Saccharomyces cerevisiae S288C: one gene and its partners. The gene in region 2 interacts genetically with the main gene of each other region. Each region holds a gene or a part of one and is shown on either strand. Other genes may lie near its edges.

Region 1 (3,458 bases), on a different chromosome or scaffold from region 2:
CTTCTTCACTTTGTACTTCTCACGAAAGTCTTCGTCAATAAACCTCTGATAAAGTGAAAATTCTATGAGATTCCAATAAAACCTCCAAATATCTTTATATACAGCTTACTACTTAGATAAGATGACGTTCGCCAATGGTAGGCAAAAGATAGCAGGGTGTTCTTGCCTTTCAGTCTTCGCCATGCTCTCATTCAAGAAAGGGTGCCAAAATACCGAAAAGAGACACGATCGGGGGTGTCAAAGTAGCGATTCCTGTGGGTTAAAAGAGGGTGAACCACGGCAAACATGCATGTGTAAAACCCAAAACGCCGATCTAGGGCCTGCGACGCATGGTACGAACATCCTGAAGGTATATAAAAGAGCTAAAGTCTTGACTCATGCCTGAAATCTTGATTTTTCATTGTTATATCCTCTCTATACATTAGTAAGCACCATAGATGGGCTGGCTATCAAAAGCGAGAAAAAAAAAATGCTGAATTCCAAATATGTACTCATCGGGGTGAATTTCAATGATGTGTTATGTAGATACAATATATATGTATAAGTCACTAAATGCATACATACGAGAGTCTACCTTAAGTTTGTCCAAGTGAAAAAAACTGGGCATAGCAAAAAGACGGTTGTAGGTATACCTGCGTATATGAGAAACCTTCCGACGATTTCCACTTTGGAAACACCGCTGTACAATAAACACTCTTCTTCTTCACTTGTCTCGTTATGGAAATGAACCTTTTCGCTTCTATCATCGTGAAATCTGAGTAGTTTAATTAACAGCGTGTAGACAGCTGTCTTGCTAATGACGTCTTTCCAAACAATCACAGAAGCGACACCTACCAGAGGCCTCAAGAACACCTTAGAACCACATGATGCGTACCTACTACATACAAGGTTCCATCCGTATCTTTCGGTTAACCAGTCGCTGCAATCCAGCCCACTGACTACGCCAATGAACGCTACGCTATCTTCGAAACAAGGACATTCATCAATGGGCCTGACGTGGTTAAACAGAATAAACAAGCCCCATGCTACACTCAAAAGGGGAAACCAGAGATGTTCACCAATCTGGAAATTTCGTAAAGCATGCACCACCCAGATTCTTATAAAAAAACAGATAGCTCCAACTGCGGCGCCGCTAAATAAATCCAGCATACCATGCATACCGCAGTAAACTCTACCAAAAACCAGGGTTAAGTAGTAAAATATCACCAGACTCAGTAAAAGAAGCTTTGTTGGCCATACCAGTGTGTCAGATAAACATATTCTCCAAAAGAATAATAGACTTACCGCAGTAGCGTTAGCAGAATGTGAACTGGGTGCACCATATTCTTTCGTAGTGTATTCACTTAGTGTGATTCTGTCAACTGGCGGTGATTTTGGCCTTGGTAGGCACCAATAATCCTTTAAGTAGCCACTCAAATAAATTGAATAACCAAGAACGTAGATCATGTCCCGTGTTAAATCGCGGTATCCAAGCCACACAGGCATGGGAAGCACGATAACATAAAACATGTGGGAACCCATAAGCGAAGTGTATTTGAAATAAACGTCTCTAAAAGGCGTTCTGTGCTTTTTTTGTAAAGAATGTACGAAATCTGATTGGTTGTCTGTGAATCTAGTTAGATACTGCCTTGTTTGAAACCTTAGCCACGACATCTGGCTCTCAAAATGCTCCGCTGGATGATTACCGGGATCTGCCAATAGGTGTTTGCCGCCGGAAGGAGCCATCTGAACCTTAATGGTGTCCTCGGTAACACCCAATTCAGTAACCGTCTGAATAATGGTCATAATTAAATTCTTTTACAGGCTTGCTATTTTGTATATTTTTTTGAAGACTACCACTGCCTAACTTCTTTTTGTCATGTTATCAATTCAACTAGATGTTGAGAAGGAAGCCAAGGCAAGGCTGATAAAAACTAAGAAAATAAGGAAAAATCATTATGTTATATAACATGAATTCTAGACGTACGTGCTCGTAGTTAGGAAGTATCTAAATAAGAGTCCCCACGTTACTTTAATTAGAAGCACGCCATCTTCCTACAACCGATTTTTTTGGATTGTAGATATCAGAGTCTCATCAAACAAGAGGAACCCAGAATAGGCACGTCCACTGAGAAAACCGCGGACAAGCAAGACACGCGTACCTGAAAAGGCTACATTTCTTGAAGAAGTTGTTCAGTTGAGCTAGCCACCTCTTTAGCCTGAAGACGTTCGTAATTCAAAATAGATTCCCTTGGCAATTGAAGCCATGAACTGAGTGAATCTGCAGGCTCAATCGTATTAGACAGTATGGCAGTAAGCCTTGCCCGTTCCTCTTCTTCACTTTGTTGAAGAAGAGGCTGTGGGATTCGTACCCCAGGAACGATCTGCAAATTGTCCGAGCCGCAGAATACGTGCGCACAAAGTTTAGCGACCACTTCAAGGTCTTTCTCTTCATCGATCTTTCCTCCGTATACGATCGTAGCTATGTGATCTCGCACTTGTGCCCAAGGAATGTTGTTGGTAGAATTGGTGGCTAATACATTCTCTAAATACACTGAGGCAAATTGAAAGTCGCAATCATTAAAGTAATACTTCTTGGAAAACCCATGAGGAACCAATCGGGTCCTGGCAGTGATCAAGGCATGAAACCATGACAATAGGAAGGTACAATACACGCTCCATACTCCTGAAATTTTACCAGTGAAAAATTGAGAACCCCATAGATCTTTGACGGTATCTAGTATACCTGGGATATCCTCATACACAAATCTATCAGTTCTTTGTAGCAATGGGGCAGGTAGTTTATCACCAGTCAAATGGCATGTCATGAACATTTTGAATTTCTCATGTTCTTCTGCCGCCTTTGTCTCCTCAACATGCTTGTGCAGATACGTTTTCACCCATGATAGCGACATTTGTATGTTTTGTAATAATATCCAACCACCTTCTATCTTAGATTTTGATATTTCCTCTTGAGCATAGTTTAGATTTTCTATAGACCCTAGCGGGATGATTTTTAACGATTCCTTCGAGGCTTTCGCCAATTCGATTAATTTGAATGTGCCATCAACATCTCGCTCGCTTGCCATTGTAAAATAGTTGTTCTCGGAATTGGCTACCACATCCGCGATATTCCACTCATCAACAAAAAACTCATTTTTGAACCAGTTCAACGCAGATATATACGATTTGGTTGTAACATAGTCCCATAAGTACCGCAAATCATTATTTGTATCTACGGTTAGTTTTGGTACGCCATCGCTACTTTCAGAGAGAACTCCAATCATAGTTAGAACTGCCTCTTTATATTGTTCACTTTCAATGTCGAATTTATACAAACAAAACATCGTCATAGCCATAATCATTTTAAATTTTTTGTCAAGAGCGGTGGAGAATTGACAATATACTTCTTGATATAATAGCCAAAGAATTTCATCTACCCGTGTCCTAGCTGCTCTTGTTTCCCTAGATTTCTTAAT
Region 2 (4,674 bases):
AGACTAGATCATGAGGGATTCCTAATAATTCACCTAGATGCCTGACTTCGTCTTTGAACAGTTCTCTCAATGGTTCAATTAGCTTTAATTTCATGTTCTCTAGTAAACCACCGACGTTGTGATGAGTTTTAATGGTTTGAGAAGGACCTTTGAAAGAAATGGATTCGATGACATCTGGATAAAGAGTACCTTGTAACAGGAATTGAATCTCCTTACCATCTTTTGGCTTAATTTTTTCAGCTTCTCTTTCAAAGACGTGGATAAATGTGTTACCAATAATCTTTCTCTTCTTTTCTGGGTCAGTGACACCCTTCAATTTACTTAAAAATTCTTCGGAAGCATCGACAACCATCAAGTTGATACCTAAACCTTCGACAAGGGTCTTTTTAACGTTAGCAGCTTCATTTAATCTCAAAACACCGTTATCGACCAAGATGGCATGGAATCTATCACCGATGGCTTCTGTCATCAATTTGGATGCAACAGTAGAATCAACACCACCGGAAACAGCACCAATGACTTCAGCAGTTGGACCGACCAGTTTTCTGATTCTGTTTATTTCAGTGTCGATAAAGTTTTCCATAGTCCAGTTTTGCTTAGCGTGACACAAATCAACGGCGAAGTTTTTCAAAAGAGTCTTACCTTGGGTAGAATGTGTAACTTCTGGGTGGAATTGAATACCATAGATTGGCTTAGTTTCGTGGACAATACCACAGTATGGGGAGTTATCGGAGGTGGCAATGGTCTTGTAACCAGTTGGCAAGCCGTGCAATTTATCACCGTGAGACATCCAGACAGTAGAGTCGTTCATACCTTTGAATAGAGAGTTGGAATCGTCAATCACCTTCAAAGTGGCAGGACCGTACTCTCTCTTGTCACCACGACCAACTTGTTTACCATTAATCCAAGCCAATTCTTGCATACCGTAACAGATACCCAGGATTGGAACGTTCAAATCAAAGATAGCATGGTCTACGTGTGGAGCGTCTTCAGCGTATACGGAATATGGACCACCAGAAAGAATGACACCCTTTGGAGTCCAGCCCAACTCAGAGATCTTCTGAGTGCATGGCAACATCTCAGCATAGATGTTAAACTCTCTTAATCTTCTGGTAATCAAATGAGAGTATTGAGAACCAAAGTCTAACACTAAGATAGTGTCAAACATGTTAGAAACTTGTTCACCGGCAGCCATTGTGAATATTGATGTCGTTAGTTTATTTTAGAATATAGATATTACCTACCAAATGACCCAGGGAAGTTAAACTACAACGAACGCAAGCTAATTAGAGACTACCGTGACCGAAACTATAACTCAACTAATGTTTTATAACTGTGAAATGAAAATGAAACTGAAAAAATGATAAAAAAAAGAAATATTTTTTCTCGATGCTCATCGCCAAAGAAAAAAAAAATTTTCATTTCCTGCAAGCAAGAAAAAGAAATGACGGCATGAAAAGAGTCAAAATGTCGGGAACCGAAGCCATTGTAGGGGAGCGAGAGGATGAAAGCATATTCCTGTCACCAACGTCACGAAGAAATGAGTCGGCTACTTGACAACCTTGTTTTTTCGCTGTTAAACATAATTAAAGGTTCTATTTGGCAACACCTCATAATTATATCACTATCCACGTGATATTAAATCGTTACGGACGAGCCTATATTATTTCCGGATTTTTTTCTAATTTCTTTTTCTATTTTTCTAAATCTTATCGTCGTTATTTATTTGAAAGAGAATAAACAATGAGTGTGGGCTATGAAAGAGCTATAGAGAAGTCACAGGATATAGAGGGATCTATTTGTAGCTGGCAAGTTAATAGAGATTGGAAAACTGATTCAAAATTGTTAGATCACCTGGCGCTGAGAAATAATTGTGTTTTTTGGTATAAATAGACACCCCCTTTTGAGGTTGAAGAGATAGAGTAAAGAAGAAGTGTAGACATTAATGGGTTCATCAATTAACTATCCTGGGTTTGTGACTAAAAGCGCTCATTTGGCTGACACTAGTACGGATGCGAGCATTTCATGTGAGGAAGCAACAAGCTCGCAGGAAGCGAAGAAGAATTTCTTTCAAAGGGATTATAACATGATGAAGAAGGCGCCTGCTCCAACGAAGTCTAAACTGTCTTTGGCCTTGCAGACTTCCAAGTCATCCTCTAGTGCCAACGGTACTGTACAAGAGGATACTTCCTCGAAGACAGAAGATTTTTCTACAAAGAGCATTAAGAAAAAACCAGATAGCGGCGTTGAATCGCATGTGTCCATCCAATCGGATTCGGGGCCACAATCAGACTCAGATTTGGATTCAGATTCCTCTATCTCATCATGTGACGAAAGGAACGAAGAGTCTTTGAAAGATTACAGGCCGGGTGGGTACCACCCTGCCTTTAAGGGCGAGCCCTATAAGGATGCACGCTACATTTTAGTAAGAAAGCTGGGATGGGGCCACTTCTCCACCGTTTGGTTGGCAAAGGATATGGTAAACAACACTCACGTTGCTATGAAGATTGTTCGGGGCGACAAAGTTTACACAGAAGCTGCTGAAGACGAAATTAAGCTTTTGCAAAGAGTGAATGACGCCGATAATACAAAGGAGGATTCCATGGGGGCTAATCATATTTTGAAATTGCTAGATCATTTCAACCATAAGGGCCCCAATGGCGTCCATGTGGTTATGGTATTTGAAGTCCTCGGCGAGAACTTACTGGCTTTGATAAAGAAGTATGAACATAGGGGCATTCCATTGATTTATGTCAAGCAAATATCGAAGCAGTTACTGCTTGGTCTTGATTACATGCATAGGCGGTGTGGTATTATACACACAGATATTAAACCAGAAAACGTGTTGATGGAGATTGGAGATGTTGAGGGTATCGTTCAAATGGTCGAGGCACTGGATAAACAGAAGAGAGAGGCAAAAAGGTTGCAGAGGCACGTTTCGCGGTCTTCTGATATTACCGCGAACGATAGCAGTGATGAGAAATGGGCAGAATGCCAAACAAGTATGCCCTGCGGCTCAAGCTCAAATTCCAAATCTCGTTCTATAGAGAAGGACTTGTCAAAAAGATGCTTTAGAAGACCTAGACGTCATACAATTATCACAGGGTCGCAACCATTACCTTCCCCAATTAGTTCATCAAATTTCTTTGAAATGAGGGCGCACTTTTGTGGTAGTAGTCACAATAGCTTTTCCTCCGTATCTGGGAATAGGAACATTCCATCTTCCATCAATAATAACAGTATTAATAATGGCATAGGCATTAAGAATAGCAACAATAGTTTCTTAAATTCAGTACCACATTCTGTGACCAGGATGTTCATAAATGAAGACAGTAATGATAACAACAATAATGATAATAGTAAAAATAAAAATAACAACAATAACAACAGTAACAACAATAATAACGAGGACATAATGAACACACCTTTGCATGAAGAGCAGCTGGCAGACTCTTTATCTACATTTGATATTTCCAATATATCACAAAGCTCCGATACAAATGGTCCATATATTTCTAATACTATGGATTCAAATTCAAACGTCAGTACCGATATCAACTCCCCAGAAAATTTGATTCAGATCAAGATTGCTGATTTAGGTAATGCTTGTTGGTATGACGAACATTACACGAATTCTATACAGACAAGAGAATACAGATCACCAGAGGTGTTACTAGGCGCCCCTTGGGGTTGTGGTGCAGATATATGGTCTACTGCTTGTCTAATTTTTGAATTGATTACCGGAGATTTTCTTTTCGAACCGGACGAAGGTCATTCCTACACTAAGGATGATGACCATATTGCACAAATCATCGAGTTATTGGGAGAATTACCATCATACCTTTTGAGGAACGGCAAATATACAAGAACTTTCTTCAATTCAAGAGGGCTTTTAAGAAATATCTCGAAATTGAAATTTTGGCCCTTAGAAGATGTTTTAACTGAAAAATATAAGTTTTCTAAGGACGAAGCCAAGGAAATATCTGATTTTTTGTCGCCTATGTTACAGCTAGACCCAAGGAAAAGAGCTGATGCAGGTGGCTTGGTTAACCATCCATGGCTCAAGGATACCTTGGGTATGGAAGAGATTCGGGTACCTGATAGAGAGTTGTACGGGAGTGGTTCCGATATCCCCGGATGGTTTGAAGAAGTCCGCGATCATAAAAGACATTGATTACCTTTATACCTTTATTTTGCCCTTGCCTTTTACTTTTTTTTCTGTTTAACCTCTTTTTTGCATACTTTAGTTCTCTGCTCAGTTGTTTATTTTTCAGTAGTTTTTTTGCAATTTTTTTTTTTTTTTTTACCAAAGTAAATTTGTAACACCTAGTATAATATTCTGAAGTAACAACAAAAGATTATGCTGATTCTCCTTTCTTTTATCTTTAGCGGTTTTTGAATCCATACTCGACATTTTTTGATTTTATTTTTTGCACCCAATGGTTGTCCTGGTGAAGGATGATGGGTGTGATACCTAAGCGTTTTTGATGAAAAGTTTACTATTTAAAAACATATAAATTGTTTTACATATGTTAAGATAAAAGAACACAAAAAAATAAAACGGTTGAAAACGAAAACAAGTCCATGGATGTTTCAAAAAAATACATGAGCAGCTCAGAGTAGAGCAGAAATCAGACCTGCAAATAATGCAAGGTATCCAGACTGACTAAAGGA
Region 3 (3,522 bases), on a different chromosome or scaffold from region 2:
CATGCAGGGAAGCCTTGAATATGCTGACGCAATCAACCGTTACTTAAATAACAATTTTACGCAGCACCTAAAAATCAGCAATGAAGGGAGCAAACCGACCATACGTCTCTACCCTCCTCCCAGTACAAAAGATCTAGATCAAGGCACAAATGCCTTTATATCATATAATGGTCACCAGGATGATCCCAACAATAGTATTGTGTATTTTATTCAGACTGCACAAAGAGATGACATCAAAAATCTGACACTAACCTTTCTTACCGAATATCTATTTTCACTAACGCTAGTGCCTGATCTAAGAAATAAAAAGCAAATTGGGTACATTGTTTTGGGAGGACTCAGGGTTTTAACAGACACTGTTGGGATTCATATAACCGTAATGTCTGGCAGCTCGGGGCACAATCTGGAAACTAGGATCAATGAGTACTTATCTTACTTGCAGCTGCAGGTGCTAAATAGATTCACCGAGTTTGATTTTCGAAGGATACTTCTAGAGCCGTTCTTAAATCTTTTAAAACAGAACAGTACGAAACAGTTTGAAGGGTCGGCTGGTCCTGTAGACCTATTAAATGAGATAGTGGCAAATGTGCAAAATGGTGATAATTACACTCTCAACAATAAACAAATGAGACAACATAGGAAGGTAAGAAATAAAATTGCGGAAGGAAGGCTTAATTTTCAAGAAGATCATGAAATGATTGATATCTCATTTTTGCAAAAATTAACTCTAAAGAAATATTTAGCATTCTTCGAGTCCAAAATCTCTATATATTCCGCTCAAAGAAGTAAGCTATCAATAATGATCACAAGTCCAATGGCAGAGAAGGAAATTGCAAGCAGGAAAATGTTCCTTCAGCTAGAGGCCTTTCTGAAAATAAACGGATTCGCCATAAAAAATGAAGACTTGAAGAAAATTGTCGAACATTCAAAGGGAAATCCTATTTTACTTGTAAAGAACCTTTTTACTTATTTTCGTAGGAGAAATGAAGTTTTCAAGCTCGGAACCGTTGTATTGCAGGAAATATTGAAAATCATCGGAATGAATCTTAAGCAGAGATACGGCTCTATATTAGGGTTTTCTTCCCAAGATGGTGAAGGACAAGAAATAGAAAAATTTTGGAACAACGACACAAGTCCGATTGTTCCTCTTCAGGAGCTTCCTGAACCAAACTTTTTCCGCAAGGCCGCATTTTGAACCGTATTTTGCTCGTTCCAGCCTTTCCACGTTTTTGTTATCTAAGCAACTTGGCACATTTCCCTACTATACTACAAACCGATACGTAAATACTTCCCTAAATAGCATATGAATTATTCAGTAATTTTTAAGGATCGAAACTGCACCTCAACTATTCGTTACTGTGGTTATGTTCTCATGTATTGATGCAAATCATGGGATATTTGCTCAAGACGACGGTAAAATGAGCAAAAATGGCACGATCCTGAAAAGAGCACTTTTCAAGATTCGGGCTACAAAATGCAACATAAAAAATGTTGTATTGTCATCTCGAGAGGGTCTTGTATGTTTTATTCCTCTTATGATTAGTTCACATTAGTAAAACAGATACGCAGTGTGCTCTTAATAAACAACTACTCCATAGCTTTATTTGCATAACAAAACTTTTAAGCACAAACTTAAACAGGTGGAGTAATAGTTCGGCGGCGACTCAAATTACATTTGTTGGAAGAATCGAATAGAAAATAAAAAAAAGTGTATTATATTTGACATTCAAAATGGAAGGTATGAATATGGGTAGCAGCATGAATATGGACGCCATGTCTAGTGCATCCAAGACAGTAGCATCGAGTATGGCGTCGATGAGCATGGATGCGATGTCTAGTGCCAGCAAAACGATATTATCGAGCATGTCATCGATGAGCATGGAAGCGATGTCCAGTGCGAGCAAAACGTTGGCGTCGACTATGTCGTCAATGGCAAGTATGTCGATGGGAAGCAGTTCAATGTCAGGTATGTCTATGTCGATGAGCAGTACACCAACAAGCTCCGCCAGTGCACAGACAACTTCTGATTCTAGCATGTCAGGCATGTCAGGTATGTCATCGTCTGATAACAGTAGCTCTTCAGGGATGGATATGGACATGAGTATGGGAATGAACTATTATCTGACTCCCACATATAAAAACTATCCAGTTTTGTTTCACCATTTGCATGCAAACAATAGTGGTAAGGCTTTCGGTATTTTCTTATTATTTGTTGTGGCTGCTTTCGTCTACAAACTACTGCTTTTCGTTAGTTGGTGCCTTGAAGTTCACTGGTTTAAAAAATGGGACAAGCAAAATAAATATTCCACTTTACCTTCAGCAAACTCCAAAGACGAAGGAAAACATTATGACACAGAGAATAATTTTGAAATTCAAGGTTTACCTAAGCTGCCAAATTTATTAAGCGATATATTTGTTCCATCTTTAATGGATCTCTTTCATGACATTATAAGGGCGTTCTTAGTATTTACCTCTACGATGATTATTTATATGTTGATGCTTGCTACCATGTCTTTTGTTTTAACATACGTTTTTGCTGTAATTACTGGGTTAGCTTTATCGGAAGTCTTCTTCAATAGATGCAAAATAGCCATGCTAAAGAGGTGGGACATCCAAAGAGAAATTCAGAAAGCGAAGAGCTGTCCTGGCTTCGGTAACTGCCAATGTGGTAGACATCCCGAACCCAGCCCTGATCCAATTGCTGTTGCCGATACCACTTCCGGAAGTGATCAAAGTACTCGCCTGGAAAAGAACAACGAATCTAAAGTTGCGATTTCCGAAAATAATCAAAAGAAAACACCTACACAAGAAGAGGGATGTAATTGTGCCACAGACTCAGGAAAGAATCAAGCAAACATAGAGCGCGACATCCTTGAGAATTCCAAGTTGCAGGAACAGTCCGGGAATATGGATCAAAACTTACTTCCGGCCGAAAAATTCACTCATAACTAATAACTAGACAAGGTTCGTCCACCTATATCTTCTTCTTCCAATATCTCTATACATCAAAATAAGAATATCGTTCATTTCTCAGAAGCTCAAAAAAAATCTCAAAATGGATACTTCTAATGCCCTCATGAAGAGGAAAGAAAATAATAGACACAGCGACCTTCCTATAAATAACAGACTTGTATATAGTTGAATGTCTAAGTAATTTTAATTCAAAAATCCTTAACTATATTACCACCTTGCAATAATAAGAGTGAAGTGTTAAAAATGATACTTGCTTGCCTTCATCGAGTTACCGTTGTCTCCCACGTTTCTTTTTTCTCGTTGGACAGAATTGCTTCCGCGCGAACATTTTCCACTTTTATTTGAAAGAGGACATTATTCAGATCGTGTCAGTCTCATCTAATTGGCAAAGTGGCAATTTTCGAAATAACAAGATAACTGCATAAAGTAACACTTGTCGAATTGAAAGTATTTTGCCAGTGATATTTAGGTTCGAGTAAAGAAAATTTCATAAAGAAATCAACAAGACACAATGCTGAAATACAGGTCTTTGCCAATCAAGAGAGCAAT

What was found. A genetic interaction does not mean that the proteins touch.
Region 1: mutations in SKY1 (region 2) and YSR3 together harm fitness more than expected from each alone (negative genetic interaction), as found in Saccharomyces cerevisiae (2 studies listed by BioGRID).
Region 3: mutations in SKY1 (region 2) and CTR1 together harm fitness more than expected from each alone (negative genetic interaction), as found in Saccharomyces cerevisiae (2 studies listed by BioGRID).

What each region holds. Positions count from the first base shown.
Region 1 is NC_001143.9:533,497-536,954, forward strand, and holds YSR3 (sphinganine kinase YSR3), read right to left. Parts: upstream 1,786-3,458; coding exon 571-1,785; downstream 1-570. Other genes in the region: DYN1 (dynein heavy chain), read right to left, coding at 2,151-3,458. UniProt on the Saccharomyces cerevisiae protein: Dihydrosphingosine 1-phosphate phosphatase required for efficient ceramide synthesis from exogenous sphingoid bases. Involved in endocytosis and calcium-mediated signaling.
Region 2 is NC_001145.3:698,311-702,984, reverse strand, and holds SKY1 (serine/threonine protein kinase SKY1), read left to right. Parts: upstream 1-1,945; coding exon 1,946-4,174; downstream 4,175-4,674. Other genes in the region: GUA1 (GMP synthase (glutamine-hydrolyzing)), read right to left, coding at 1-1,195; GAS3 (putative 1,3-beta-glucanosyltransferase), read right to left, coding at 4,615-4,674. UniProt on the Saccharomyces cerevisiae protein: Constitutively active kinase, specifically and sequentially phosphorylates serine/arginine (SR)-type shuttling mRNA binding proteins in their RS dipeptide repeats.
Region 3 is NC_001148.4:784,477-787,998, forward strand, and holds CTR1 (high-affinity Cu transporter CTR1), read left to right. Parts: upstream 1-1,731; coding exon 1,732-2,952; downstream 2,953-3,522. Other genes in the region: AXL1 (Axl1p), read left to right, coding at 1-1,195; YLH47 (Ylh47p), read left to right, coding at 3,485-3,522. UniProt on the Saccharomyces cerevisiae protein: High-affinity copper transporter of plasma membrane that mediates copper uptake under low copper conditions.